Macaca mulatta: one gene and its partners. The protein of the gene in region 1 interacts with the protein of each later gene in a pairwise test. Links are inferred from orthologs where the notes say so. Each region holds a gene or a part of one and is shown in the gene's direction. Other genes may lie near its edges. The genes, in order: BHLHE40, STK19, AANAT, SMYD1, MAGED1, NAA50 and RHOBTB3.

Region 1 (3,130 bases):
GCAGCTCATCTCTATTAATTATGGTCCATTTCCATGATAGGATATTATGCAAACATTAAAAATCGTATTTTATCTGAGTGTTAGTATATGGATTATTTTAATTTAATTATTTATACTTTTCAGTGTAATTCTTCTCTGAGCATACTACTTTTGGAGTTAGGAACACAAATCAGTAAATGCGATTTCTTTTTTTAACAAAAACGAAAGCACCTGGTTTTTTGGCGTATAGGTATCCAGGTGCACCACAGGGCCTTCTGAAACATTTTCCTTTGGATTTTTGTTTCCCTAGGTGAGCTGTCAGGGAGAAATGTTGAAACAGGTCAAGAGATGTTCTGCTCAGGTTTCCAGACTTGTGCCCGGGAGGTGCTTCAGTACCTGGCAAAGCACGAGAACACTCGGGACCTGAAGTCTTCGCAGCTTGTCACCCACCTCCACCGGGTGGTCTCAGAGCTGCTGCAGGGTGGTACCTCCAGGAAGCCATCAGACCCAGCTCCCAAAGTGATGGACTTCAAGGAAAAACCCAGCTCTCCGGCCAAAGGCTCGGAAGGTCCTGGGAAAAACTGCGTGCCAGTCATCCAGCGGACTTTCGCTCACTCGAGTGGGGAGCAGAGCGGCAGCGACACGGACACAGACAGTGGCTACGGAGGAGAATCGGAGAAGGGCGACTTGCGCAGTGACCAGCCGTGCTTCAAAAGCGACCACGGACGCAGGTTCACCATGGGAGAAAGGATCGGCGCAATTAAGCAAGAATCCGAAGAACCCCCCACAAAAAAGAACCGGATGCAGCTTTCGGATGATGAAGGCCATTTCACTAGCAGTGACCTGATCAGTTCCCCGTTCCTGGGCCCACACCCACACCAGCCTCCTTTCTGCCTGCCCTTCTACCTGATCCCACCTTCAGCGACTGCCTACCTGCCCATGCTGGAGAAGTGCTGGTATCCCACCTCGGTGCCAGTGCTATACCCAGGCCTCAACGCCTCTGCCGCAGCCCTCTCTAGCTTCATGAACCCAGACAAGATCTCGGCTCCCTTGCTCATGCCCCAGAGACTCCCTTCTCCCTTGCCAGCTCATCCGTCCGTCGACTCTTCTGTCTTGCTCCAAGCCCTGAAGCCTATCCCCCCTTTAAACTTAGAAACCAAAGACTAAACTCTAGGGGATCCTGCTGCTTTGCTTTCCTTCCTCGCTACTTCCTAAAAAACAACAAAAAAGTTTTTGTGAATGCTGCAAGATTGTTGCATTGTGTATACTGAGATAATCTGAGGCATGGAGAGAAGATTCAGGGTGTGTGTGTGTGTGTGTGTGTGTGTGTGTGTATGTGTGTATGTGCGCGTGCGTGCACATGTGTGCCTGCCTGTTGGTCTAGGACTTTAAAGCTCCTTTTGGCATAGGGAAGTCACGAAGGATTGCTTGACATCAGGAGACTTGGGGGGATTGTAGCAGACTTCTGGGCTTTTCCCCACCCAGAGAATAGCCCCCTTTGATACACATCAGCTGGATTTTCAAAAGCTTCAAAGTCTTGGTCTGTGAGTCACTCTTCAGTTTGGGAGCTGGGTCTGTGGCTTTCAGCAGAAGGTACTTTCAAAAGAGGGCTTTCCAGGGCTCAGCTCCCAACCAGCTGTTAGGACCCCACCCTTTTCCCTTTATTGTCGACGTGACTCACCAGACGATGGGGAGAGAGCAGTCAGACCGAGCTTTCTGCTAACATGGTGAGGTAGCAGGCACTGGCATAGCACGGTAGTGGTTTGGGGAGGTTTCTGCAGGTCTGCTCCCCACCCCTGCCTCGGAGGAATAAAGAGAATGTAGTTCCCTACTCAGGCTTTCGTAGTGATTAGCTTACTAAGGAACTGAAAGTGGCCCCCTTGTACAAGCTGAGCTGCCCAGGAGGGAGGGAGGCAGGAGTTCCCTGGGCTTCTGGCACCTGTTTCTAGGTCTAACCATTAGTACTTACTGTTCAGGGATCCAAACCAAGGTCTGAGAGACACAGACACCCCGAACGAGCACCCCAAAGGGCACAAAGCTGAGTAACAAACTGCTGCCTTCAAACAGAACTAGACTCAGTTTTCAGTTCCATCCTAAAACTCCTTTTAACCAAGCTTAGCTTCTCAAAGGCCTAACCAAGCCTTGGCACCGCCAGATCCTTTCTGTAGGCTAATTCCTCTTGCCCAACGGCATATGGAGTGTCCTTATTGCTAAAAAGGATTCTGTCTCCTTCAAAGAAGTTTTATTTTTGGTCCAGAGTACTTGTTTTCCCGATGTGTCCAGCTAGCCCCGCAGCAGCTTTTCAAAATGCACTATGCCTGATTGCTGATCGTGTTTTAACTTTTTCTTTTCCTGTTTTTATTTCGGTATTAAGTCGTTGCCTTTATTTGTAAAGCTGTTATATATTATATAAATATATTAAAAAAGGAAAATGTTTCAGATGTTTATTTGTATAATTACTTGATTCACACAGTGAGAAAAAAATGAATGTATTCCTGTTTTTGAAGAGAAGAATAATTTTTTTTTTCTCTAGGGAGAGGTACAGTGTTTATATTTTGGAGCCTTCCTGAAGGTGTAAAATTGTAAATATTTTTATCTATGAGTAAATGTTAAGTAGTTGTTTTAAAATACTTAATAAAATAATTCTTTTCCTGTGGAAGAGAAAGATGGTCTCCTGAATTTTTTTTAAATAACTCAATTGGTGTGATATGGCTGACTCCTATGTCCTTCCTTCTTGGCTTAAGCAAACCAGTTAATCTCAGTGTAATTTCATTCAGCTTTTCATGTGCTTTGTATTCAATCAGAATAAGCTTAGTCAACTTGGCAGGTAAATATTGGTTTAATTTTTTTTTTAACCCTTGCCAGGGGTACACGATCATCCTCTACCTCTCCAGAGTTAAGTAAAAAGCATATTTTCCCCCGCCTGCTTTCATCGTGGTCCTTGGAACTTGACAGAAAACCAAGGTATGATACCGTGGGCTGCAGTGTCTGGGGAGCCTGCTGGAGGGAGAGGCACATTGAGAAAAGATTTACTGGATTATTATGCAATACTAATTGATGCTGGGATAGCACCTCTTTGCCAAAGCAGTCTAGCTTTTTCAAATCTATGAAGGTCTAATGGATTTGCCATATCCTGTCTTATTCCTGCTGG
Region 2 (4,267 bases), on another chromosome or scaffold:
CTCTGGGTTACGGAAGCCAGCAACAACATTCGGGACACCTGGGAGGAATGACTGAGCCCACCATTTCAAGAGCTTGTGTCTGTCAGGAAAAGCAAGGGGTCAGTGGGACCCCTCGTCCACCCTCCATTCTGCCTTCACCCTCCTCCCCAAGTCCCTTTCCCAGCCTTCAAGTCTAAGCTCTCGCCCTGCCCACCCCTGTCCTGAACCTGTAGAAGCTCCTCCATTGGCCAGGGCTGTGCATCTCCTTGGAGGTCTTGAGCTCCACATAGCAGGTGGGGGGCTGTGTGGATGGGGTCTGGGGGTCTGTGCAGTCTACCTCCCCTGAGAAGAGCAGAGGGTGGCTTCCCAGGCGGCTGCGTAGCACAGAGCAGAAGGCCACGTTGGTGTTAACCTCCCCAGAGGGGTCTGGGGAGCTTCCAGGTTTGTCTGCACAAGGAGAGAAGCAGCAGCAGGGGTGGGGGACTCTCAATCTCTGGGAAGGGGAAGGGGGCTATGAAGCAGGGGCAACTCACCTGCACACATATACTGCTCAAATTTGTATCCCATGTACATAAGCTCCCGGAGGAGCGGTGGCCGAGCAAGCCTCTGGGCCCGGGCTTTCGGCGTCTCCACCTCACTCAGGTATAGTGTTCCCTGGAACCGAGAGGCTGCCAGCTGCCAACCCTCCTGCCGCTCATACGGTGTCGTCAGCAATTTTGTCAGGTGCCCCCGCCATGTCACTATGGCCTCTGCCAGCCAGCCTGGACCCCTGAGAGGCAGGAGTTACAGGCTGAAGGTCTGACACAAGCATTAGTGAGATGCTCCCCTCGAAGAATAGTCTGTTTCTTTTAAGGACTGATTCTCACCCCAGCTGTGGCTCTCCTAATTTTAGAGGGTAGTACGGGTCTCCAGATATACTGCCTGCCACGCTTTGCTCACCCCTCCAACCGGCCTCGGTGTTCCAGGAGCCAGCACAGCAGGTGGTTCAGCCTTTCTTGGACCTCCTCGTCCCGGGGCTGGTATCGATCCGGGTATCCGTCTCTGAGGTCAAAGTTGGGGCCTGGACCGTTAGTGGGGGGTGGGCTATAGTAGCGCAGGGCTCGGGCATCTCCATGGTACTGGCGTTGAGCATCCAGGGAGAAGCAGCCCAGTTCCGAAGGGCGCCGGTAGAAAGGAAAGGGCCCAGAGTAGAGGGCAGGGTTTGTGGGCAGAGAAGGTGCTGGACGGGGTAGTTTGTTCCGAGGCTCAGCTACCTCTGTCTTCTCAGCTCCTCTCTTGGTCCCCCTGGGATCCATGAGGTCCTAAGGGAAGCAGGGGGACAGAGTTTCCATTTTACAGAGGAGGCCTGGAGAAGGATGACTGGTTTAGGACTAAGCGAGCCACCTGATCGCCAGGTTCTGGCCTTGAAACATTCAGGCCCCTCAGACGCCACCGCGGCCAACCTCTCATCCTGCCTCTTTCCTTGCCCTTCACCCACCCTCCCTCCAGGTCCTCCAAATGCAGTGAGGTTAGGAAGGACGCCTGCGCTCAGATCAAGAATCCAGTTACCTCAAATCCACTTCCCCAACTTCCACCTCCGCAGGGCTATGACGTCATGGCAGGCACACGAGAGGCCGAAGGATGCAAAAGTGGTTTTTCTGCTTTCGATGATGCAATCATTCAGCGACAGTGGCGGGCAAACCCCTCCCGGGGCCGGGGAGGTGTGAGCTTTACGAAGGAGGCTGATCCCAACGTGGCCACCGGCGCCCCTCCACGCCGCCCACGAGTCCCCAGGCGTGCGTGCCCTTGGAGGGAGCCAATCCGCGGTCGGCGTGAGGCCCGGCCCGGCGGACGTGGTGCGGGTATCTGCGTCGCCACCGCCCCTCCCAACACTGACTGGCCTGAGGGAAGACAAGTTGACGCCCTTTTCGTCACCACCTGGTCTAGGAGGGACGCCCGGGGAGACCGTACGTCACTGTTCTGCGCCGGAAGACCCTATTTTCAGGTTCTCTTCCCTCCATTCCTACCTCTTCCCCGGTACCATAAAATCCCGGGATATGAGCCGAAAAAGGCATCACCTGGTCCCGGAGACCTTTGGAGTTAAGAGGCGGCGGAAGCGAGGGCTTGTGGAGTCGGATCCTCTTCGTGGCGAGCCAGGTAACCATGGCAACCCCGGGGCGGGGCTAAAGACCCCAGCTGGGTGGGGCCTCGCTTCCGGTAGCCGAGAGTTTTGTTGGAACCGCGTCCCCGCCCCAGTTCCCTGTCTCTGACCCGGTTTCTCGGTCCAGGGTCGGCGCGTGCGGCTGTCTCAGAGCTCATGCAGCTGTTCCCGCGAGGTCTGTTTGAGGACGCTCTGCCGCCCATCGTGCTGAGGAGCCAGGTGTACAGCCTCGTGCCTGACAGGACCGTGGCCGACCGGCAGCTGGTGAGGGGCGTCGGTGCGACCGCCGGAGGCCCCTTTCCTGACTCCTAAAATTTCCTGTCCCTCAGTCACTCCGCCAGCTGTTCAGCAAGCATTAGGCCTTTCAGGGGAGGGCACTGTTCCGGGCACTGGGGTGCCACAGAGACCCTGTTAAATGGGTCGCAGGCAGTACAGGGCATTTCAACCATGGAGGGAGAAGAACGAGGCTTTTGGGGAAACCGAGTCATGGGGCATGGTTCGAACATAGAGCACTGGGAGTGCAGACAGACGTCAGATCATGACAGGCCTTGTACATCAGTGTTGTTTCCATCTTACACTGAGGCGATGGGCTGGTAGAGAATGTCATAGAGAGAGGGAATGGTGTATTGGAGGTAGTGGATGAGGCAGGGAGGTCAGCTAAGAAGACACTGCATCTGAGAAGTGGTGAAGGCCTAAATTAGGTCAGTGCAGTACGGAGGGAGAGGAGAGTGAGAAAGGGAGGAGTCCAGGAAAACTCAGACTTTCCGGATGACTGCGTGGCTGGTGGTATTAGGAGCACATTTAGTTGTTGGACTACGGATAATGTGTTTAATTTTGTACAAGTTGAGTTGATGGTGCATGTGGAGCATCCAAAGACAAACGTATTAGACAAGTGGCTATTAGAGTTGGAGAGAATTCTGGCCAGTGATAATAGAATTACAAGTCATGGAGGTGTGAATAGCAAGTGGTTAATTCTGTGAATGTGGTGAGATCCAGTAGGAAGAGTGGGTAGAGGAGTGATTTCTAACCTTTTTATAATCTTTAGAAGGTGATAAAAGTTATGGCTATTTCTCTCCAGAAAAATGTACGTATGCCACATATACATAGGATGTATGTACAGTTGGGGGGAAATACTTCACTAATCTTCTGAGGTCCATGGTTAAGGACTCCAGGTTTAGAGTGGAAGTTGATAGGGTCAAATCCACAATGCTGGGAAACACTGTCATTTAAGGCAGTGTTACTGAATGTATGAGCTGAGTTATGCCTGTGTCAAAATTACATGGGCTGTTTATTTAAAAAATACAGGTTCCTGGGACTCATCCAAAGTTAATGAGTTACAATCTCTTGGGGTGGGATTTGGGACTCTACACTTTTGAACTGCCTCAAGTCCTTTTTAAGTGTGCCTTAAAATTTGAGATCCACTGACATAAAGGGAAAGCAGAAGAAGAGGAATCTGTGGCAGAGGCAGAGAAGGAATTGCCTGAGTTAAGAGGAACCCAGAGGCCGGGGCGGTGGCTCACGCCTGTAATCCCAGCACTTTGGGAGGCCGAGGTGAGTGGATCTCTTGAGCTCATGAGTTTGAGACCAGCATAGGCAACATGACAAAACCCCATCTCTACAAAAAAAATACAAAAATTAGCCAGGCATGGTGGTACGCACCTGGGGAGGCTGAGGTGGGAGGATTGCTTCAGCTGGGGAGGTGAGCTGAGATAGCACCACTGCACCCCAGCCTGGGTGATAGAGCTAGACCTTGTCTCAAAAAAAAAAAAAAAAAAAAAAGGTAACCCAGGAAGAGGCCTATTGTAAAAGTAAAGAGATTTTTGAGAAAGTGAAGTAGTTGGCAGTATTAGAACCTGTGATTCAAGACAGTGGTCTAAGAAGAGGGAGGAGGTAAAGTAAAATATAAACAAATCTAGGCTGAGTGTGGTGGCTCATGCCTGTAATCCCACCACTTTGGGAGACTGAGGCAGGAGTATAGCTTGAAACCAAAAGTTTGAGACCAGTCTGGGCAACAAAGTGAGACCCCGTCTTTACTAAATAACTGAGACCCCATCTCTACTAAATAAATAAAATAAATTGAAACACAAAAATTCTTAGCTGGGCATGGTGGTATGCACCTGTTCTAGCTGTTTAGAAAGTTGAGGCAGA
Region 3 (3,137 bases), on another chromosome or scaffold:
AGTCAGCCTCTGGTAATCCCTTCTGTGCCCAGGGCACCAGAGCTGACGTTTCCCTTCAGCAAGGCAGGGGCAGAGGCTGCCAGAGCCCTGCTGGCGTCATCCTGCCTGGGATAGCTTGAGAGGTGGGGTGGGGGGGATTAGAAACCTCTGAGAACAGCACCACAGGCTGCCCTGGTAACATCTGCTACTACAGCCTTGCAGCCAGGAGTCCTGGATTTTCCTGGTTCCTGTGCCTGCGGACAGGTCCCCAGGGCCACTGGCTTTGTGGAGGGAACACGGTGCCCTCTCCACAGCCCAGGTAGGTGGAACCCCAGCTCCTGGCTCTCAGCCTTCAGGAACAGGAGCTTCCCTGCTTGGAGCTTCTAGACATGGAGGGAAACATGGAAGTCACGGAGTTTATTAAGTGTCTTGGAAGGTAGAGGGAGGGATGGCCTCCTCTAAGAACTGCAAATTTGCAGGGTGTCTTGGGAGACAAGAGTGCCCAGAGAGGCATGTCCGATGAGCTGGACGTGTGGGGCAGGGGGTATCCTATGCATCCTCCTTGCCTGTTCCTCCCCATCCCCCAGGCCCTCTGCAGCCCCCGGCTCCCTCTAACCTCCCCACCCCCCACCACAAATCCTGCATATGTGTGGCCCAGTCTGAGGCCATCTGGATAGAAATAGAGGCTCCCTAAGGGGATTAAGGGGCTTTTTCTCTAGGACCAAGGGCTGAGACTACCTAAAAAGCTCTCCGCCACAGGATCTTGCACCCAGAAAACCAGAAGCCTCCCTCTGGGGAGGTAAGATAAACCACATGAATGGTGGTGTGGGGGACCCGGGGGCCCACCCACTGCACAGCTGCATTAGATGTGGTCAGTGGAGGGTCAGGAGTCCTGCCTCCCCGCTGTGGGCAGCAGGGTTGGGGTGCCCCAGGCTCCATGGAGCCCTGCTCATCCCTGCCATCTCTGGGGCTCAGAAGCACCCAGAAGGCACCTGAGACCAGTGTCTGCAGGTCTGCAAGGGGACAGACCTCCAGGGATCCTTCTGGCTGCGAGGGAAAGGTGGGGAGACAGTGCCAATGTTTGTAGTGCCTGGTAACAGCCTTGAAGACCAGGTACCCGGGGAATGTGCCCATTGATTTGGGGGCTGGCTCCACCCAGTTCCTGCTATAAAAGAGGCCAGATGCACAGTGTGGGGCCAGACTCCCTGGAGATGAGGATCAGACCCCTGCCCCTTGCTGTTCTCCAACAGGTGCTGGGAGGCCCTCCGTGGCTTAGGAGGCCACTTCCAAAGGTGGGGTGCCCCAGGGAGGCACCAGTGGCCAGGATGTCCACACAGAGCACCCACCCCCCGAAACCCGAGGCCCCGCGTCTGCCGCCTGCGATCTCGAGCTGTCAGCGGCGCCACACGCTCCCTGCCAGCGAGTTTCGCTGCCTCACCCCGGAGGACGCCGTCAGCGCCTTTGAGATCGAGCGTGAAGGTGAGTGGCCCTGCACAGGGTCAGAGGGAAGCTCCACTCCGGTCCAGTTATCCTGTGGGGAGGAGACCCTTGAGTCTCCTGTCTTGGAGGCTGGGTCCCAGAGTATCAGACCATGTGTGCGCTCAAGAAAGTGGAGGAAACAGCAGCCCTAAACCCCATTTTCTTGGGGGGAATGGGGCATTTGAGTAGACACTCGGGGTGCAGCAGACAGTGGACGTGAGGCACAGCGACTACCAGTTGCCCACCTGAGCCTCCTGCCACAGCCTTCATCTCCGTCTTGGGTGTCTGCCCCCTGTACCTGGATGAGATCCGGCACTTCCTGACCCTGTGTCCGGAGCTGTCCCTGGGCTGGTTCGAGGAGGGCTGCCTTGTGGCCTTCATCATCGGCTCACTCTGGGACAAGGACAGACTCATGCAGGTGAGGACGGCGCTGTGACGCCCAGCTCCAGGGAGGCCTCTGAAGACAGAGGTCAGCCAGACGGTGGGGAGGGGAGCCCAGGGGCTGGGATTTCTTCCTCCAGAACTGGAGAGATGAGTATAGGCCACAGCCCCCTCCCAGGGCAAGGCGTTCTGGGTTTTCAAGTTTTCTCCATGGGGATGGGGGTATGGCTCAAAATTTGGGGCCCTCCTTGGCTGGGGCGGGAGCCCTGACCACAGGCACCGAGGGGACACCTGCTCCCTGCCTGGGTCGGTGGCTGGGGAGGAGCATGCATCAGCAGAAGTGACCTGGGCTCTCGTCCCTTGCTCACCTCCAGGAGTCACTGACGATGCACAGGCCTGGGGGCCACATAGCCCACCTGCACGTGCTGGCCGTGCACTGTGCCTTCCGGCAGCAGGGCAGGGGCCCCATCCTGCTGTGGCGCTACCTGCACCACCTGGGCAGCCAGCCGGCTGTGCACCGGGCCGCGCTCATGTGCGAGGACGCGCTGGTACCCTTCTATGAGAGGTTCGGCTTCCACGCCATGGGCCCCTGCGCCATCACCGTGGGCTCCCTCAGCTTCACGGAGCTCCACTGCTCCCTGCAGGGCCACCCCTTCCTGCGCAGGAACAGCGGCTGCTGAACTGGGCTGCCCACCTGGCTGCCAACGTGATCCCCGTCTCTGCCCTGGGCCCCTTAGCTCAGCTGAGCATGGAGACAGCAGTTTCCAGAGTGGAGAGAGCAGGGCTAAATAAAGAGGAGATGGGGTGGCTTCTCACAGCCCGAGCTGGAGTGGTGTGTCCTGTCTGTTCCCACGAGGCCTCTGGACCTCCTGTGTTCTGAACTCTGTACCTGAGACTGGGCTGGGTTGGTAAGTGGGGACAATGGGAGGCGCTGTGGGTTCCCTGGCTCCTTTCCTCCTCCTGGCAGGTGGGCAAAGGCACCAAGGCAGCATCCTGACAGGAGCCCATTGCTCAAGGGGGGTCCTTATTCTCCCCAGCCTCGTGGATGCCCTTTCTCACTCTTTTTTTTTTTTTTTTTTTTTTTTGAGACGGAGTCTCGCTGTGTCCCCCAGGCTGGAGTGCAGTGGCCGGATCTCAGCTCATTGCAAGCTCCGCCTCCTGGGTTTTTACACCATTCTCCGCCTCAGCCTCCCAAGTAGCTGGGACTACAGGCGCCCACCACCTCGCCCGGCTAGTTTTTTGTATTTTTTTTAGTAGAGACGGGGTTTCACCGTGTTAGCCAGGATGGTCTCGAACTC
Region 4 (3,500 bases), on another chromosome or scaffold:
GCGTCCCTTCTCCACCCTCCCTGTCTGTCTCCTCTTTCCTTCCCTCCTCCTGCTTGGGGAGGGTGGGGCTTCTCAGAAGTGAACTACGAGGCGGAAGCCCTGTCCGCCCTGGACCCTAATTTCTGTTTCCATAAAGGTCTCATCTAGCCCAGGCAGCCAGAGGCTCTGGAGAAACCACCTTCTGTTTACCATATGTAGCAGAAACATCTACTGCCCTTTCCATTTCAGAGCCCAGGGACAGGCCTCCAAATGACCCAACTAATAAAAGCCAGAGATTCTAGAGTATGATTCCTCATAAAGGAGGGGCCATGGTGACAGCTGGGATCGTCCAACTAAGAAGTTTCCAGAAACTGCCAGGCCACAGCTGGGAGGGGAGGCCAAGAGGACTGAAAGAGGATAGGAGCTTGAAATGAAGACCCCTCATCCCGGACTCTATCTTCTGGCCTTGTTTACTATGAGGCCATTCCTGCTCTATCTGAATTGGCATCCCACATACAAATCTTACTTATTTATCCATCTCTGGATGATAGATTTGGATGGTAATTTATCCTCTTACTTATCTGCACTTTTTATACTTTTTCCTCTCCACATTGAAAATAAAGACCCCCAATCACTATCCCTTCCTGCCCACCAGTCACTTTGGAAACCTTTTTCCAGGTCTGCCAGGCAGGATTGATGTGGAGGCTGCAGCAGTGGGGGCTGTGAGCCAGAGAGAGGGGAGTCAGGATTTTGGGGTGGGAGCAACCAAGCCAGGTGAGGCCATAACAGTCCCGGAAGTGGGGGCGAGAGCCCAGTGGATGAGGAGGCTCAGGTCCTGGCTGTGGGGATGGATGTGTTCCACCTGGTAGGCCAGGCTCTTTATGTGGCGAAGGTGAGCAGGCTGAGGAGGGAGGAGGACAAACATCACACTGACATCTCTCGAGTCTTCACCATATTGGGGGACAAAGGGAGAGAGATTGATTGAGTCCAAGGATTTGGCTCACACAATGGTGGAGGCTTGGTAAGTCCAAAATCTGCAAGGTAGGCCAGCAGGCTGGAGATCAGGGAAGAGTTGCAGTGCAAGTCCAGAGGCATTCTGCTGGCAGAACTCCTTGTTCAGGGGAGATGAGTCTTTATTCTCTTGAGGTCTTCAACTGATTAGATGAGGCCCACCCACATTCTAGCAGGCACTCTGCTTTACTCAACTCCACTAATTTAAATGTGAATCTCATCCAAAAACACCTTCACAGAAGCATACATTATAGTTTTTGACCAAATATCTGGGCACCATTGACCAGCCATGTTGGCACACAAAATTAACCACCACAGCTTCCCATGTATTATTTCACACAGTCTTTACAACACAAGGTAAGGTCCATGCTTTCAGCATTTCTGTTTTATAGAACAGAAAACCTAGGTCCAGAGAGGTTACATGACCTCCAAAAGCCACATGGTTAGCTTGTGCCCAGGGAAATTCCAGAAGCAATCTGTATTTTCAGGAGCCAGAGCTTCTACCTTTTTTTTTTTTTTTTTTTTTGAGATGAGGGTCTTACTCTGTCACCCAGGCTGGAGTGCCGAGGTGCAATCATGGCTCATTGCAACCTCCATCTCCCAGGCTCAAGTCATCCTCCCGCCTACCAAGTAGCTGGGACCACAGACGCAATTAGCATAGGCCTGGCTAATTTTTGTATTTTTTTGTAGGAGCCGGGTTTCACCATGTTGCCCAGGATGATCTTGCACTCCTGAGCTCAAGTGATCTGCCCATCTCGGCCTTCCAAAGTGCTGGGATTACAGGCGTAAGCCACCACGCCCGGTCTAAGCTTTTACTTTTAACAGTTATGTTCTATAGCCTTGGGGTGAATTGGTGTGTTGCGCAATCTTGGGCATCCCTAATAGGTCTGCGGACTAGGGCTAGAGGTCATATAATTACCAAAGGTTAGAGCTGAAAAGATCCTTGGAGCTCATCTAGTCCAATTTATTCAACCTATAGATGGGAAAACCAGGGCTCAGAGAAGAAAGAAGTTTGCTCCAAGTAGTACAGCTTGTTAGTGGTACTCACAGGCTTAACATCATGAACTTACTAAATGTCTGATGAGAGTAAGTGGAGAAAGTGACACTCCTCCATATCTATGACAAATATTCATGTGAGGGAATAAATGTCTACTGGGTTTCTGTTATATATAGCATGTATTCATAGATGTATTTACAGATGAAGTGGAAATTTGCATGCAGTTACTAATGTATTCTAGGTTATATTTATTCTTCTGCATTTTTCATACTGTGAGAGCAGATATTTGGAGTCTGTTTCTGTAAAGAACAATTTATTTTTAAGGAAAAGAAAATCACTTGGATGCCACATCAGTAGTAACCAACTTGATTTGCCTTGAATCTCAGTGATAAGTGTTAAATATGGCACTCACCAGATTTAAAAATTGTGAGCAGGGAATATAACAGTATTCACCAGATACAAAATAATCAAAAGAGATGTTAATTTTTTTTATGAACAGCCACAGGAGTTTAAACTAAGTAGGCAGAGGAAATAGAGAAAGGAAAAGCTCTTTCACACATACACACACACACACACGCACACACGCGTGCAAAGAAGGGTACAGAGAGAAAAACCAAGACAGAGACTGAGGAATACTCATGTAAGACCCAGATACAGAAAAAGGAAAACATTTCCATCTTTGACTCTTTTAGAATACAGCCACAAAAAACTTTCAAGGTAGGGTTGCATTTTTGCAGATGTGGGACTGTCCCATGGCCCTAATCTTGTGCGTCATTTGGAGTCACACAGAGAACAGGGGACTAATGTTCTGTGTCCAGACTCCCTAAGCATCTCCAGGATGAGACTGGGTCCTCTGTTTTTTAAAATTGCTTTCAACAGCTAGAATAGCGTTCTGTCCATGTCTGTTGACTGACTCTTTCATCTTTTCCTCTGGGTAGATTAACTGCAACGGTTTTACTCTCAGTGATCAGAGAGGTCTGCAGGCCGTGGGCGTAGGCATCTTCCCCAACCTGGGCCTGGTGAACCATGACTGTTGGCCCAACTGCACTGTCATATTTAACAATGGCAAGTGAGTATGTCTTTATCTGGGGGGGTGTGTGATGGGGATGGGGAGACCTATGGTGTTTTGTCCACTTGACTTAAGCCAAAGTCAACCTGCTAAACCTCAACTAGCATAGATTTTAAATGTATAGCACATAGAAATCTCATTCCAGAATAATTGTGAATGAGAGAAAGGCATCATGGAGGATATCAAAGAATTCAACCTGGGTCATTTCTGAGTGTGTATGTTTCTTGGGGCTGCCTAGATGTGTCAGATAAACCTTTAACTACTATTTTAAAACTTGAAGCCTAGGATTATCTGTCTAGAGGTCATTTAGTCAAGGTCTCAGCAGGAATCAGGAGGCACACTCAAAGGGGTTTACCCAAATACAATTGAATGAAGGGACAGTTTACAGAAGTGTGGGCAGGGTTTAAGATACTAACAAGGGGCAGGGCCTGGTGGCTCATGCCT
Region 5 (3,500 bases), on another chromosome or scaffold:
TGGGTAGGACCCACTTGCTGTGCATTCCACTTTGCACATTGAGAAACCGGGCTCAGAGAATTGAGTGACCTGAGCGGGCTCACACAGCTGGAGACAGACAGGCTGGGCACTCCATCGCTGGAATTCTGAAGCCCAGCCCAGTTTCTCTCCGTAAGACCACAGCTGCCCCAGACCCCAGCCCTGAAAGGAACCAGGGCTTGCCATGGCTCAGACACACAGGTCTGATTGTCCTGGCTGCTCCAGTGGGCACCAGAAGGCCTCAGGGACAGTGTGATTGTATCCCTGATAAGGAAGAGGCCTGACGTTCTGAGCACAGAGTGGACCCCAAGGAGCAATTTCCACACCTGGATGGACCCACATAGGGCAGGGGGGAGGGTGGGGGCCTCTGCTTGTGTCCTCCTGAATGCAGAGCATGAGCTTGGGCCTCCTAGAACACAAACTTTGCTTGTTTAGGACAAATGGGGTGCCGTGGTCTGTTGCTCAAATGGAGGAGGGAGGGGTACCCTTAGTCCCCAGGGCAGCATGAGCAGAACGTGGGTTTTGGAGTCAGGAAGACCCAGACCCAAATTTTGCATTTTGTTTTCTGGCTCTGTGGCCTTGTCTAGTTTATGCAATGTATATGTGCCTCATCTTCCTGATCTGTAAAATGAGGGTGCTGACATTCACCTCCCAGGGCTGCTGTGACAGGAAGACAAGCCCCAGCACAAATCCTGCTGTGATGTACAAGCTGTGCCCTTCCCTCCTTTCCTCCCCCAACACACACAAATGAGTCCATCACCGGAGCTGCATAAAGAACAGGGAAGAAACTAACGTTCTTTCTGCGTCTGGGAGCTTGTGGGGGCGGGCAGGGAGTGGGGGAGAAATCATGGAGTCACGTGGCAGCCACAGACTTACTACTACTACTTTGTTAGCTCCAATAGTGTATCCTCTCAGGCCATTCCGTTTCCTCAGCGGAGGTCTAACACTTGTTGCAATTAGAGACCCCACACAGAGACCTAAGCGTGCTGGGCAAGGGGGTGGAGATGCAAGCCGACCTGACAGGAGGGGCCTTGAGTAGGGGAGGGACGGAATAGAGACGCATTGCGGAAAAGGTAGGGGGCCGGTGTGTGGGGCAAGGGGTGTGACCAAGAGGCACAGCGCATCTGTTGGGGGAGGGGGCGTAGAGGAAGGGGAGGTGCTGTTGTATAGTGTCGACCTGGTTGGTGGTGGGGTGGTGTGTTGGCAAAGGGGGCGGGACCGCCTTCAAGCGCACATGCGCATCATGGTCTCCAGGACGAAGCTTTTGTTGGGAAAGCAGGCGGGACTGACTTTGGCTTTTCAGTGTTTGCGCATGCGCGTAACGTCCTGAGGCGGTGGGTGGTATATTAGGCGAAGAGGCGGGGTCGCCCAAGCTGCCGCGCTGGCATTTTCTCCTGGACAAGGAGAGAGTGCGGCTGCTGAGAGCCGAGCCCAGCAATCCCGATCCTCTGAGTCGTGAAGAAGGGAGGCAGCGAGGGGGTTGGGGTTGGGGCCTGAGGCAAGGTGAGAATTAGCCCCCAGACAGGGCATCTGCCCCCTGGTGCGGGCCCCCATTTTTGTTTTATCCCGATCCCTTCACCCTGGATTCTGAATCCCTTTCCACCCCCCAAGCCCCAATTCACGTGCCCCTCCCGATCCTTCCTGATTCAAAACCCCTGTCCGATCCCTCCCATCGTTCGAAATCCTCAGATTCCTTGACCTCGATCTGTACTGTTAGATGATTCCTCCTGACTCAAAACCTCCATGCAACTTCCCAAATGCGAATCCCAACCCAACCGCACCCCTCCTCCGCGAATTTAGAACTCATCTGCTTCCCAAACCCCGATTTGAAGCATCTCCCTGTCAGTAGCTTCTCGGGGTTCAGAACCTGCATCTGGACGCCCATTCACTTTTCCTGCTCCGATCCGTTCCTCCTCACATTCACCTTATCCGCCCGCACAATCAGACCACAGTCATCCCCCTCCCAATTCGGTCCTTCGTATTTGCCCTCTGTAGTATAACGCCCTGCCCCTCTCCCACAGCCCCCAGGCTCCGCTCTTGCCAGAGGGACAGGAGCCATGGCTCAGAAAATGGACTGTGGTGCGGGCCTCCTCGGCTTCCAGGTGAGATCTCCACTCCCCACCCCAGCATTTCCCCAGCCGACAGTCACCCCTCCCCGCGGGCCTCTTTGGTTTCCCAAACGCCGGGATCCGGTTTGGCCCTCTTTAGTGACTAGACTCCGTGGGCCTTTCGAATTCTCATCGTTTATCGAAGGGGGGGAGGGGCGTCTCTTTTCAGCCATCAGTCCCTGCTCAGAGAGAGGGGAGACCCTGTTAGTAGTCAGGGCAATCTGCCCAGAGAATGCGGGGTGGGTAAGGAACCATTTTTTTTTTCCAGAGTCCTGACGCTTGTAGAGCAGTCTGTCACCCCCTCCCCCAGCCTCCTGCCTCCACCCTCCCTCTCTCTGCATTCCCCACTCTGTGCGACCCCCCTTATTCTCAACTCCGCGATCCGCCTCCCGTCCTGAGCTGCTACTGCACGCCTCTCAGAGCGTCCCTGGCTCCTGTTCCTGCCCACTCTCTGCACACCTCCCCACCCCTCATTTTGCCCCTGCCCTACTCCATCCCTGCCACATGTTTAGTACCCGCCCCGCCCCCTATCGCCCCTTGCGGGTCCCATAGATCTCTGCCTCAGCCCCCCTGTTTTTGCACCCACCACCCGCCTGCAGCTCCCCTGTTGCGCTGCCACCCGGGCTCCCTATTCCCACCCCACCTCCTGCCTCAGAGGCCCAGAGATTTAATTTTTCCCCTCCTGTGTTTGCAGGCTGAGGCCTCTGTAGAAGACAGCGCCTTGCTTATGCAGACCTTGATGGAGGCCATCCAGATCTCAGAGGCTCCACCTACTAACCAGGCCACTGCAGCTGCTAGTCCCCAGAGTTCACAGCCCCCAACTGCCAATGAGATGGCTGACATTCAGGTTTCAGCAGCTGCCGCTAGGCCTAAGTCAGCCTTTAAAGTCCAGAATGCCACCACAAAAGGCCCAAATGGTGTCTATGATTTCTCTCAGGCTCATAATGCCAAGGACGTGCCCAACACGCAGCCCAAGGCAGCCCTTAAGTCCCAAAATGCCACCCCAAAGGGTCCAAATGCTGCCTATGATTTTTCCCAGGCAGCAACCACTGGTGAGTTAGCTGCTAACAAGTCTGAGATGGCCTTTAAGGCCCAGAATGCCACTACTAAAGTGGGCCCAAATGCCACCTACAATTTCTCTCAGTCTCTCAATGCCAATGACCTGGCCAACAGCAGGCCTAAGACCCCCTTCAAGGCTTGGAATGATACCACTAAGTCCCCAACAGCTGATACCCAGACCCAGAATGTAAATCAGGCCAAAATGGCCACTTCCCAGGCTGACATAGAGACCGACCCAGGTATCTCTGAATCTGACGGTGCAACTGCACAGACATCAGCAGATGGTTCCCAGGCTCAGAATCTGGAGTCCCGGAC
Region 6 (2,772 bases), about 26 Mb from region 1:
AAATTGTGGGTTTTTTTACTTCTTCAGAGAGGCATAAACATATTCTTTGTTAATGTGTCTGACCTAGTAAGTTAATTTGGGTCTTTTTAAGGAATACTGAGAAAGGGTTACTGAATTATGTAAAATATGGTGAGAAATAACTAATGTTTGTTAACATAATTCTGCTGGAATCCCTACATAGATTTGCTATTTACGTCCCCTTCTGCTTTTTCTGTTTTTCTTCTACCTGGAAGTGCTTGTTTAAAAAGGTTAGTCTTCTGTTAACAGTTTTAAACATATGTAGCTATTGTAGAGAGAGAACACAACTTTGGAAAATAAGAATAGTCTATACCTCATAAATTCTATTAGGACCCAATAAGTAGTTCAGATGGCAGGTGGATAGATACATAATTTAAAGGTTGATTTATGAAGTCACATGTTATTTGTTTTATTAACAGGAACTAAAATGTTAAATCATGTCTTAAACATCTGTGAAAAAGATGGTACTTTTGACAACATTTATCTGTAAGTAAATTAATATTTTATGTTCTTATCAGAGGGGTTTAATAAGTTGGCAGGAGAAATCTTGACTAGAAACTTTAAAATCTGGTCACTTACTGTGCCTTTGGAAACACTGTGGAAGTAGTTGTTACAAAGTATTCGAGTAGTTGTTTTGTTTAGTTTTGTTTTATTAATAATAGTAGATTAGGGACCTGAGATAGAACACATTGCTTTATTATATTAGGATGAGAGCTCCAAAATCATAGGGAGGAAATCAGGATTAAAACTCAGGCCTTGGCCAGGCGCAGTGGCTCACACCTGTAATCCCAGCACTTTGGGAGTCCGAGGCAGGCGGATCACAAGGTCAGGAGATAGAGACCATCCTGGCTAACACAGTGAAACCCCGTCTCTACTAAAAATATTTAAAAAATTAGCTGGGCATAGTGGCGGCCGCCCATGTCACAGCTACTCGGGAGGTTGAGGCAGGAGAATGGCGTGAACCCGGGAGGCGGAGCTTGCAGTGAGCTGAGATCACGCCACTGCACTCCAGCCTGGGAGAGAGAGCGAGACTGCATCTCAAAAAAAGAAAAAACTCAAGTCTTCAGAATTCAAAACCATTAATACTACTTTTCTCGTGCATAACCTTGTGTGTTTTGTTCAAGGCTATGTTGGATAGCCTTGAACATTGTAGTAGATCATTTGTAGTAGAGTTTAATAATCAAAATCATAGATTACCTAGCTGAGATTATACTTGAATCTCAAGAGGCTGTACATAAAGAGCTATGACTAAGATCACAGTCATGGATGTTCATAATTTAGTTTGGCTGTGTGAGATGCTGAATTATACAGTGTTATTTTTGGGAGTAATTGAGAAAGCTTGCATTTTTAATTTTTAAAACATACCATGTTTTTTATCAATCAGAAGGAAGATATATCTTCAAGCTTTGAGACCCTAGTTTTTTATTTTTCATCATTATTTTCTGTGTGTTAATAGGGCCTTTTAATAATTTATCCTCTTAAAATGAAAAAATTTTGATAGCTGTGGTACTTTTCCATTTGTTGACTATAAGAATAAACACTGTGAGCCTTCTAATCTTAACCAGCTGTCTTACAAATGTAAAAATTAGATTAAAAGTGTAAAATTGGGCCAGGCGCAGTGGCTCACGCCTGTAATCCCAGCACTTTGGGAGGCCAAGGCCAGGCAGATCATTAAGTCAGGATATCAAGACCATCCTGGCTAACACGGTGAAACCCCATCTCTACTAAAAAATAGAAAAATTAGCTGGGCTTGGTGGTGGGCGCCTGTAGTCCCAGCTACACGGGAGGCCGAGGCGGGAGAATGGCATGAACCTGGGAGGTGGAGCTTGCAGTGAGCCAAAATCACGCCACCGCACTCCAGCCTGGGCGACACAGAGAGACTCCGTCTCAAAAAAAAACTGTAAAATTGTCATCAAAAGCTTTTAGGTAAGCATGCCTAACCTTTGTTGATTAGTGGTAATTGTAAAGAGAATGTAACAAATGTGCAGCATTCTAGCTCCAACCAATTTGGAGCTATCTGTGGAGAATGCTTAAAACTTGATGAAACCTTAATTTTAATTTTTTTCTGATACTCTCTTATACCTCAGGCATGTCCAGATCAGCAACGAGTCGGCAATTGACTTCTACAGGAAGTTTGGCTTTGAGATTATTGAGACAAAGAAGAACTACTATAAGAGGATAGAGCCTGCAGATGCTCATGTGCTGCAGAAAAACCTCAAAGTTCCTTCTGGTCAGAATGCAGATGTGCAAAAGACAGACAACTGAACAAATTACAAATGAACTTTCTTGCACTTGCTTGTCGCCAAATAAAAGAGAGGCCCATTGATACCCCCTCCCCCAACACTTTTCTTTTAAAGCTTTTCTCCCTCCTTGTTCTTGTTTTTCTTTCTTCCTTTCCTTTTCTCTAAGAGTTATAATACTTTGAAGGACTTCAAAAAAATAATCATGTTTGAATTGTTTTCTCTTATTTTTGTGAGGTGGTTTGAAGGAAGGAGAAGGTAGATCTGTTTAATTTTGCAGTTAAAGCTAGATGGTCCTAAAAATTTAATTGTCAAATTTCAAATTTAATGTCCTGCTTTCACATTGAAGGGCAGAGCCTACAAAACATTGTATATTTCAAAAGACAAAAAGAAGCAGCAGCAATATCTTGTTCTCTAATGCATAGACTAGTTGAGTGTGTTTGTGGTACTTTGGGTTTTTTAAGACTGGGATACTAATCCCTAGACGTTGCCTTCACTCCACCTTTAGTCCTTC
Region 7 (4,168 bases), on another chromosome or scaffold:
GTTTCTGGAAGAGACTGATGAGAAAATATATTTTCCATTAACCCAAGAGAAAAAGTGATCCTGAATGCTGGAATTTTTAAGGATGGTTTAGGTTCTAGAGACTAAAAGAGAAATCAGAAAATGCAAAGGGAAATTAGATTTAAAAAAATTAGTGACCACATAAAGAATGTCTGCTATTATATCTTCTCTGAGCACGAGAAACTACTAAACTACTTTCAACCGAGCAATAAGGGCCCATAATAAAAAGCTGTTACCCTAGTTTTTTACTACCCTACTCAATACCCCTTCTTTCATACCCTCAAAATAGCTCAGTTGAGAAAAGAAACAGTCCAATTTTACAGAAGGGAAAAATAAATAGATAAAAGGATAAGCAAGAACTCTTTTTAAGACGGAGTAAGGTACTGGTTAGAATTTTAATACTGTATGGAGGAGTCTAACCCCAGAGTAATCCCTGGCCCATTTTGGTGTAAGTGGATCCCAGTGTTCGTTTGTATTGAGGTAGTTTGAAGCACGCTAGGGATATTCATAGCCTTTACTTCAGTGCATTATTATGAAAGAATCTAAAGTATCTTTGCATTTACATGATTATGTTTTCAGTTGGTCTGCGGAGCTATTATTAAATATGTGTCCATAATGTGTACAGAAAAATCTCCAAGTAAACTAGCATTTAACTCACCAACACATTAAACCCCCATACATAACTTCCTTTAAAAACGATCACACTAAAAATCCCAGCATTTAAAATCCTGAAGTTTTCGCTAAAATACGCTAAATAAAGCTCGAAATAGTAAATAATCCCCCCAAGGCGACATTAGCAAATTAATTGGTGTGCGAACAAAGAACCCTTTCTGCAGTGGCATGAATGTTGTCTTTATTTTTTCTCACAAGTATGATTTTAGAAAACAGCAGTAGCGCATGTTGACAAATGACAAAGCGGCAGCCGTGGTAAAGCACTTTCGGTCAAAGCCAAGAGGGGGGAAAATCGGGTTGCTGGGGCGGCACTCGTGCTGGAATCCCTAGCTTCCCTAACCTCCTTTTTCCAGTCCGGAGTGAGCGGGGGCCCCATCGCCCCACCCCCCTTTCCTGGCTCTGGTTACGGCCTTGCGAGTTGAACAAACTTGCTGCAGGCGGATTGGCGGTCGGGAGCTCTCGGGCTGGGGCGTTGTATTTATTAATTTATATTCCGCGGCGCCCCGCGCGGGCCACTCCTTTGTGTCCGGCCGCTGCCGCGGGAGCTCCGGGGCCTCGGCGGGGAGCGCGTTCCCTGTGTCCGCCCGACCCCCGGGGCCGGCACGTGCTTCGCCCGGTCCGCCGAGGGGGCGGAGGCCCCGATCTCCCCGACCCCCCTTCTCTGCCTAGAGGAGGAGGAGGAGCAGCGGCAGCAGCAGCAGCAGGAGGCGATAGCTGCCAGCCGAGGAGGCGCGGCGGAGAGGGGACTGCGGTCAGCTGCGTCCACTCGGGGCTGCGCGGCGGTCCCGCGCCCGGCGATGTTCCCGGGCAGTCTCTGAGTAGCAGCAGCTTGCCCCCCGCCCGCTAGCCCACCCTGGTGTCCGGCTCGCTTGCTGGCTGGCGCGGCCCCGGCCCCGCTCTGCGTCGGCCCCGCCGCGGTGGAGGCGCGCGAGAGGGACGCGGCCGGGGATGAGCGGATTGCGGGTGAACTCGCCGCCCGGGGGCCCCGCGAGGCCGTAAGCCGCTGCTTTTCTCCGAGTCGCCGCCCTGCCCTTGGATTTGAGATCATGTACGTACGCGCCGCCGTCCTGCCATTGTCTCTCTCCAGCGCGTGCCGTGCGCCCCAGGGACGGGGGCTGGTGCCCATCCTAGCCGCGCGCTGTCCCCCGCACTTCCTGTTCCGAGGAGAGACCCGCGCGCTGACCGTGCTTCCCTTCTCCCCTCGCCCCCTCTCTGTCCGTGCAGGTCCATCCACATCGTGGCGCTGGGGAACGAGGGGGACGCGTTCCACCAGGACAACCGGCCGTCGGGTCTCATCCGCACTTACCTGGGGAGAAGCCCTCTGGTCTCGGGGGACGAGAGCAGCTTGTTGCTGAACGCGGCCAGCACGGTCGCGCGTCCAGTGTTCACCGAGTATCAGGCCAGTGCGTTTGGGAATGTCAAACTGGTGGTCCACGACTGTCCCGTCTGGGTAAGGAACAGCAGCTGCTCCACGCCAAGGCTGAAGAAGCTTTTCTTTCCTTTTTTGCCCCCTCCCCCTTCTGCCCACTTCCGTGAGTGTGGAGTGTTCGCGTTACATGGGTCAAATTTTTAAACATTTTTGAGAAAATATTCGGTCCTTTGTTTCACTGGGCAGGGCACAGCCCCGTCAGAGAAGACTCTTAGGAAGATAGAAGGCCCCAGTGGGAATGTGGAGCACTTACTGGTACACTTCACGACTGTGGGTTGTCCCTTGGGAGGCAGCTGACAGTTGAATGTGCCAACTCCAAGGGACGGGGTCACTAAGTTTCACCAGCAGAAAGCAGTGTTTTTTTATGCCTACCCTATGGGTGATAGTGTAATATTGGTGTTCTAAAAATACAGCCTTCTCAAAGCTCAACACAGGCAAAAATACTTTTCATTGGGACAGTTCAGAAATAGTTCCTCTGGAAAGCAGAGGAAAAGACAGGGACTGGGAGTTAATTTTAAATGACTCATTTATAGCACTATTAATTGATCTCTGAAAACTTTTAATTTTAATAATGCAAATACTCTTTATGTATTAGCCATTTGTCTTAGTGACTCATAAATCAGAAATAATATTACTAATGTTGCTTGGAAAACTTAAAAAATTAAAATTTGTAATAATTGAACAAAATTGTAGTGAAGTGGATAAATTGTAGCCCGATTCTTGAGTGTTTGATTAAGGGAGAAAGGAATTTACTTTCTGACACATATAAGTATTTTCAGTATACAATAACATTATGTTTGAATGTTTTCCTTTGGTCTTATTTGAAAATCTCTGATTCTTTACTGATATTGGAGTTACGTATGTTTCAGCTAAGTTTACATTTAATAACAGAAGAAAGTTTAGTGCCTGAAAAAATACGAATTGTCATTGTGTGAGATTTCACATTTAAACAGCAATTTTAAAAACTGAATCAGGGCTATAGGAAACTATCATGCCTTTCTAAAAAATGTGTAGAGTGTACTTGGAAAAATTTTTTATGCAAAATTCCATGTAACAGAAAGAAGATCACTCGCTTGTTTAAGTTTTCAGTTAAAGAAGAAAGTTTGTTAATTTGGTAAAATAAAAAACAGACCTTTTCAGTTAAGAGATGCTATTAAACCCCTAGTTATGACAGTGATGACGCTGGTCATAAGAAGTGTGATGGAGAGCTTACTGACCAGAGTCTATGCAGGCAAATGAAACACTTCTTTTACTTGGACTCTTTCGTCGTGAAAGATCTTACAGCCTAAAAACATAACGGTTCAACATGCAGTTGAACAAATGTTTGGTGAATAGAGTAAACGTAGGGAAAATAAAATTAGCTACATTAGGATGTTAGGATTGCTTTCCCTATATTTAATTTGAGCTGTTAACATTTTCCTGTTTATATTGTTAATTTTGCAAACAGCAATGCTTGTGATCCCATACACTTTGTCTAGTAAAATGAAATCTTCCAAATGGAGAAAATAAGCCTCTATGGTACGGATTTTTCCCATATGCTGGTTGTTATGGTTTATTTTGCTAATCACTTTTTGTTTGGTTAGACTCTGGCCCTATTTAAGGCACCAAGTTTGTAACCCGGTACAATTTGCTGGGCTATAATGATCTTCAGATATGAGATTCCATTTCTAGAGTTGCTCTTTATAAGGTGCTTTTCTTCACTTGGTGGTAAGTAAAGCCCATCAGAGATACTAAAGCTGATTGCATTAATAAACTGTTATTTGACATATTACAGAATCAGAATATTACATAGAGCAGATAAAGCACAGCCTTTGATATCAAAAGGATCTGATTTCAGATTCTCACATTGCCATTTCAGGTCTGCGTGTCCTTGTTAAATCACTTACCTTCTCAGCCTTATTTTCCCTATCTATAAAATAATCTGCCTCCTAGAGCTGTGCTGAGAAGTGAATGAGAAACTAGCACGCATCACGTTCTAAGTATAGAGGCTGACATTTAGTAGCTGCTCTATAAGTGGTAGCTAATATAAAAATAAAGTGTTTGTTATAA

The links.
Region 2: the proteins of BHLHE40 (region 1) and STK19 interact in a two-hybrid assay, tested with the Homo sapiens proteins (2 studies listed by BioGRID). The two-hybrid records come from large-scale screens. The link is inferred for Macaca mulatta from reciprocal best matches to the Homo sapiens genes BHLHE40 and WHR1.
Region 3: the proteins of BHLHE40 (region 1) and AANAT interact in binary tests that used the Homo sapiens proteins (3 or more experiments, as listed by UniProt). The two-hybrid records come from large-scale screens. The link is inferred for Macaca mulatta from reciprocal best matches to the Homo sapiens genes BHLHE40 and AANAT.
Region 4: the proteins of BHLHE40 (region 1) and SMYD1 interact in binary tests that used the Homo sapiens proteins (3 or more experiments, as listed by UniProt). The link is inferred for Macaca mulatta from reciprocal best matches to the Homo sapiens genes BHLHE40 and SMYD1.
Region 5: the proteins of BHLHE40 (region 1) and MAGED1 interact in binary tests that used the Homo sapiens proteins (3 or more experiments, as listed by UniProt). The two-hybrid records come from large-scale screens. The link is inferred for Macaca mulatta from reciprocal best matches to the Homo sapiens genes BHLHE40 and MAGED1.
Region 6: the proteins of BHLHE40 (region 1) and NAA50 interact in binary tests that used the Homo sapiens proteins (3 or more experiments, as listed by UniProt). The two-hybrid records come from large-scale screens. The link is inferred for Macaca mulatta from reciprocal best matches to the Homo sapiens genes BHLHE40 and NAA50.
Region 7: the proteins of BHLHE40 (region 1) and RHOBTB3 interact in binary tests that used the Homo sapiens proteins (3 or more experiments, as listed by UniProt). The two-hybrid records come from large-scale screens. The link is inferred for Macaca mulatta from reciprocal best matches to the Homo sapiens genes BHLHE40 and RHOBTB3.

What each region holds. Positions count from the first base shown.
Region 1 is NC_133407.1:143,722,682-143,725,811, forward strand, and holds the end of BHLHE40 (class E basic helix-loop-helix protein 40), read left to right. Parts: intron 1-289; coding exon 290-1,146; 3' UTR 1,147-2,630; downstream 2,631-3,130. UniProt on the Homo sapiens protein: Transcriptional repressor involved in the regulation of the circadian rhythm by negatively regulating the activity of the clock genes and clock-controlled genes.
Region 2 is NC_133409.1:150,337,769-150,342,035, reverse strand, and holds the start of STK19 (winged helix repair factor 1), read left to right. Parts: upstream 1-1,467; 5' UTR 1,468-1,573; coding exon 1,574-1,820; exon of another isoform or gene 1,821-1,834; intron 1,835-1,905; coding exon 1,906-2,115; intron 2,116-2,246; coding exon 2,247-2,383; intron 2,384-4,267. Other genes in the region: DXO (decapping and exoribonuclease protein), read right to left, coding at 1-79, 207-426, 513-748, 919-1,274. UniProt on the Homo sapiens protein: DNA-binding protein which is required for efficient transcription-coupled nucleotide excision repair (TC-NER). Acts as part of a TC-NER complex which assembles and interacts with RNA polymerase II (RNAPII) when it stalls at DNA lesions.
Region 3 is NC_133421.1:86,220,800-86,223,936, forward strand, and holds AANAT (serotonin N-acetyltransferase), read left to right. Parts: upstream 1-1,229; 5' UTR 1,230-1,304; coding exon 1,305-1,458; intron 1,459-1,721; coding exon 1,722-1,876; intron 1,877-2,213; coding exon 2,214-2,519; 3' UTR 2,520-2,637; downstream 2,638-3,137. UniProt on the Homo sapiens protein: Controls the night/day rhythm of melatonin production in the pineal gland. Catalyzes the N-acetylation of serotonin into N-acetylserotonin, the penultimate step in the synthesis of melatonin.
Region 4 is NC_133418.1:26,070,463-26,073,962, reverse strand, and holds part of SMYD1 (histone-lysine N-methyltransferase SMYD1), read left to right. Parts: intron 1-2,925; coding exon 2,926-3,056; intron 3,057-3,500. UniProt on the Homo sapiens protein: Methylates histone H3 at 'Lys-4' (H3K4me), seems able to perform both mono-, di-, and trimethylation. Acts as a transcriptional repressor. Essential for cardiomyocyte differentiation and cardiac morphogenesis.
Region 5 is NC_133426.1:51,809,909-51,813,408, forward strand, and holds part of MAGED1 (melanoma-associated antigen D1), read left to right. Parts: intron 1-1,393; exon of another isoform or gene 1,394-1,521; intron 1,522-2,039; coding exon 2,040-2,120; intron 2,121-2,820; coding exon 2,821-3,500. UniProt on the Homo sapiens protein: Involved in the apoptotic response after nerve growth factor (NGF) binding in neuronal cells. Inhibits cell cycle progression, and facilitates NGFR-mediated apoptosis. May act as a regulator of the function of DLX family members.
Region 6 is NC_133407.1:170,005,194-170,007,965, forward strand, and holds part of NAA50 (N-alpha-acetyltransferase 50), read left to right. Parts: intron 1-437; coding exon 438-504; intron 505-2,105; coding exon 2,106-2,283; 3' UTR 2,284-2,772. UniProt on the Homo sapiens protein: N-alpha-acetyltransferase that acetylates the N-terminus of proteins that retain their initiating methionine. Has a broad substrate specificity: able to acetylate the initiator methionine of most peptides, except for those with a proline in second position.
Region 7 is NC_133411.1:102,094,572-102,098,739, forward strand, and holds the start of RHOBTB3 (rho-related BTB domain-containing protein 3), read left to right. Parts: upstream 1-1,368; 5' UTR 1,369-1,736; coding exon 1,737-1,738; intron 1,739-1,746; exon of another isoform or gene 1,747-1,851; intron 1,852-1,914; coding exon 1,915-2,140; intron 2,141-4,168. UniProt on the Homo sapiens protein: Rab9-regulated ATPase required for endosome to Golgi transport. Involved in transport vesicle docking at the Golgi complex, possibly by participating in release M6PRBP1/TIP47 from vesicles to permit their efficient docking and fusion at the Golgi.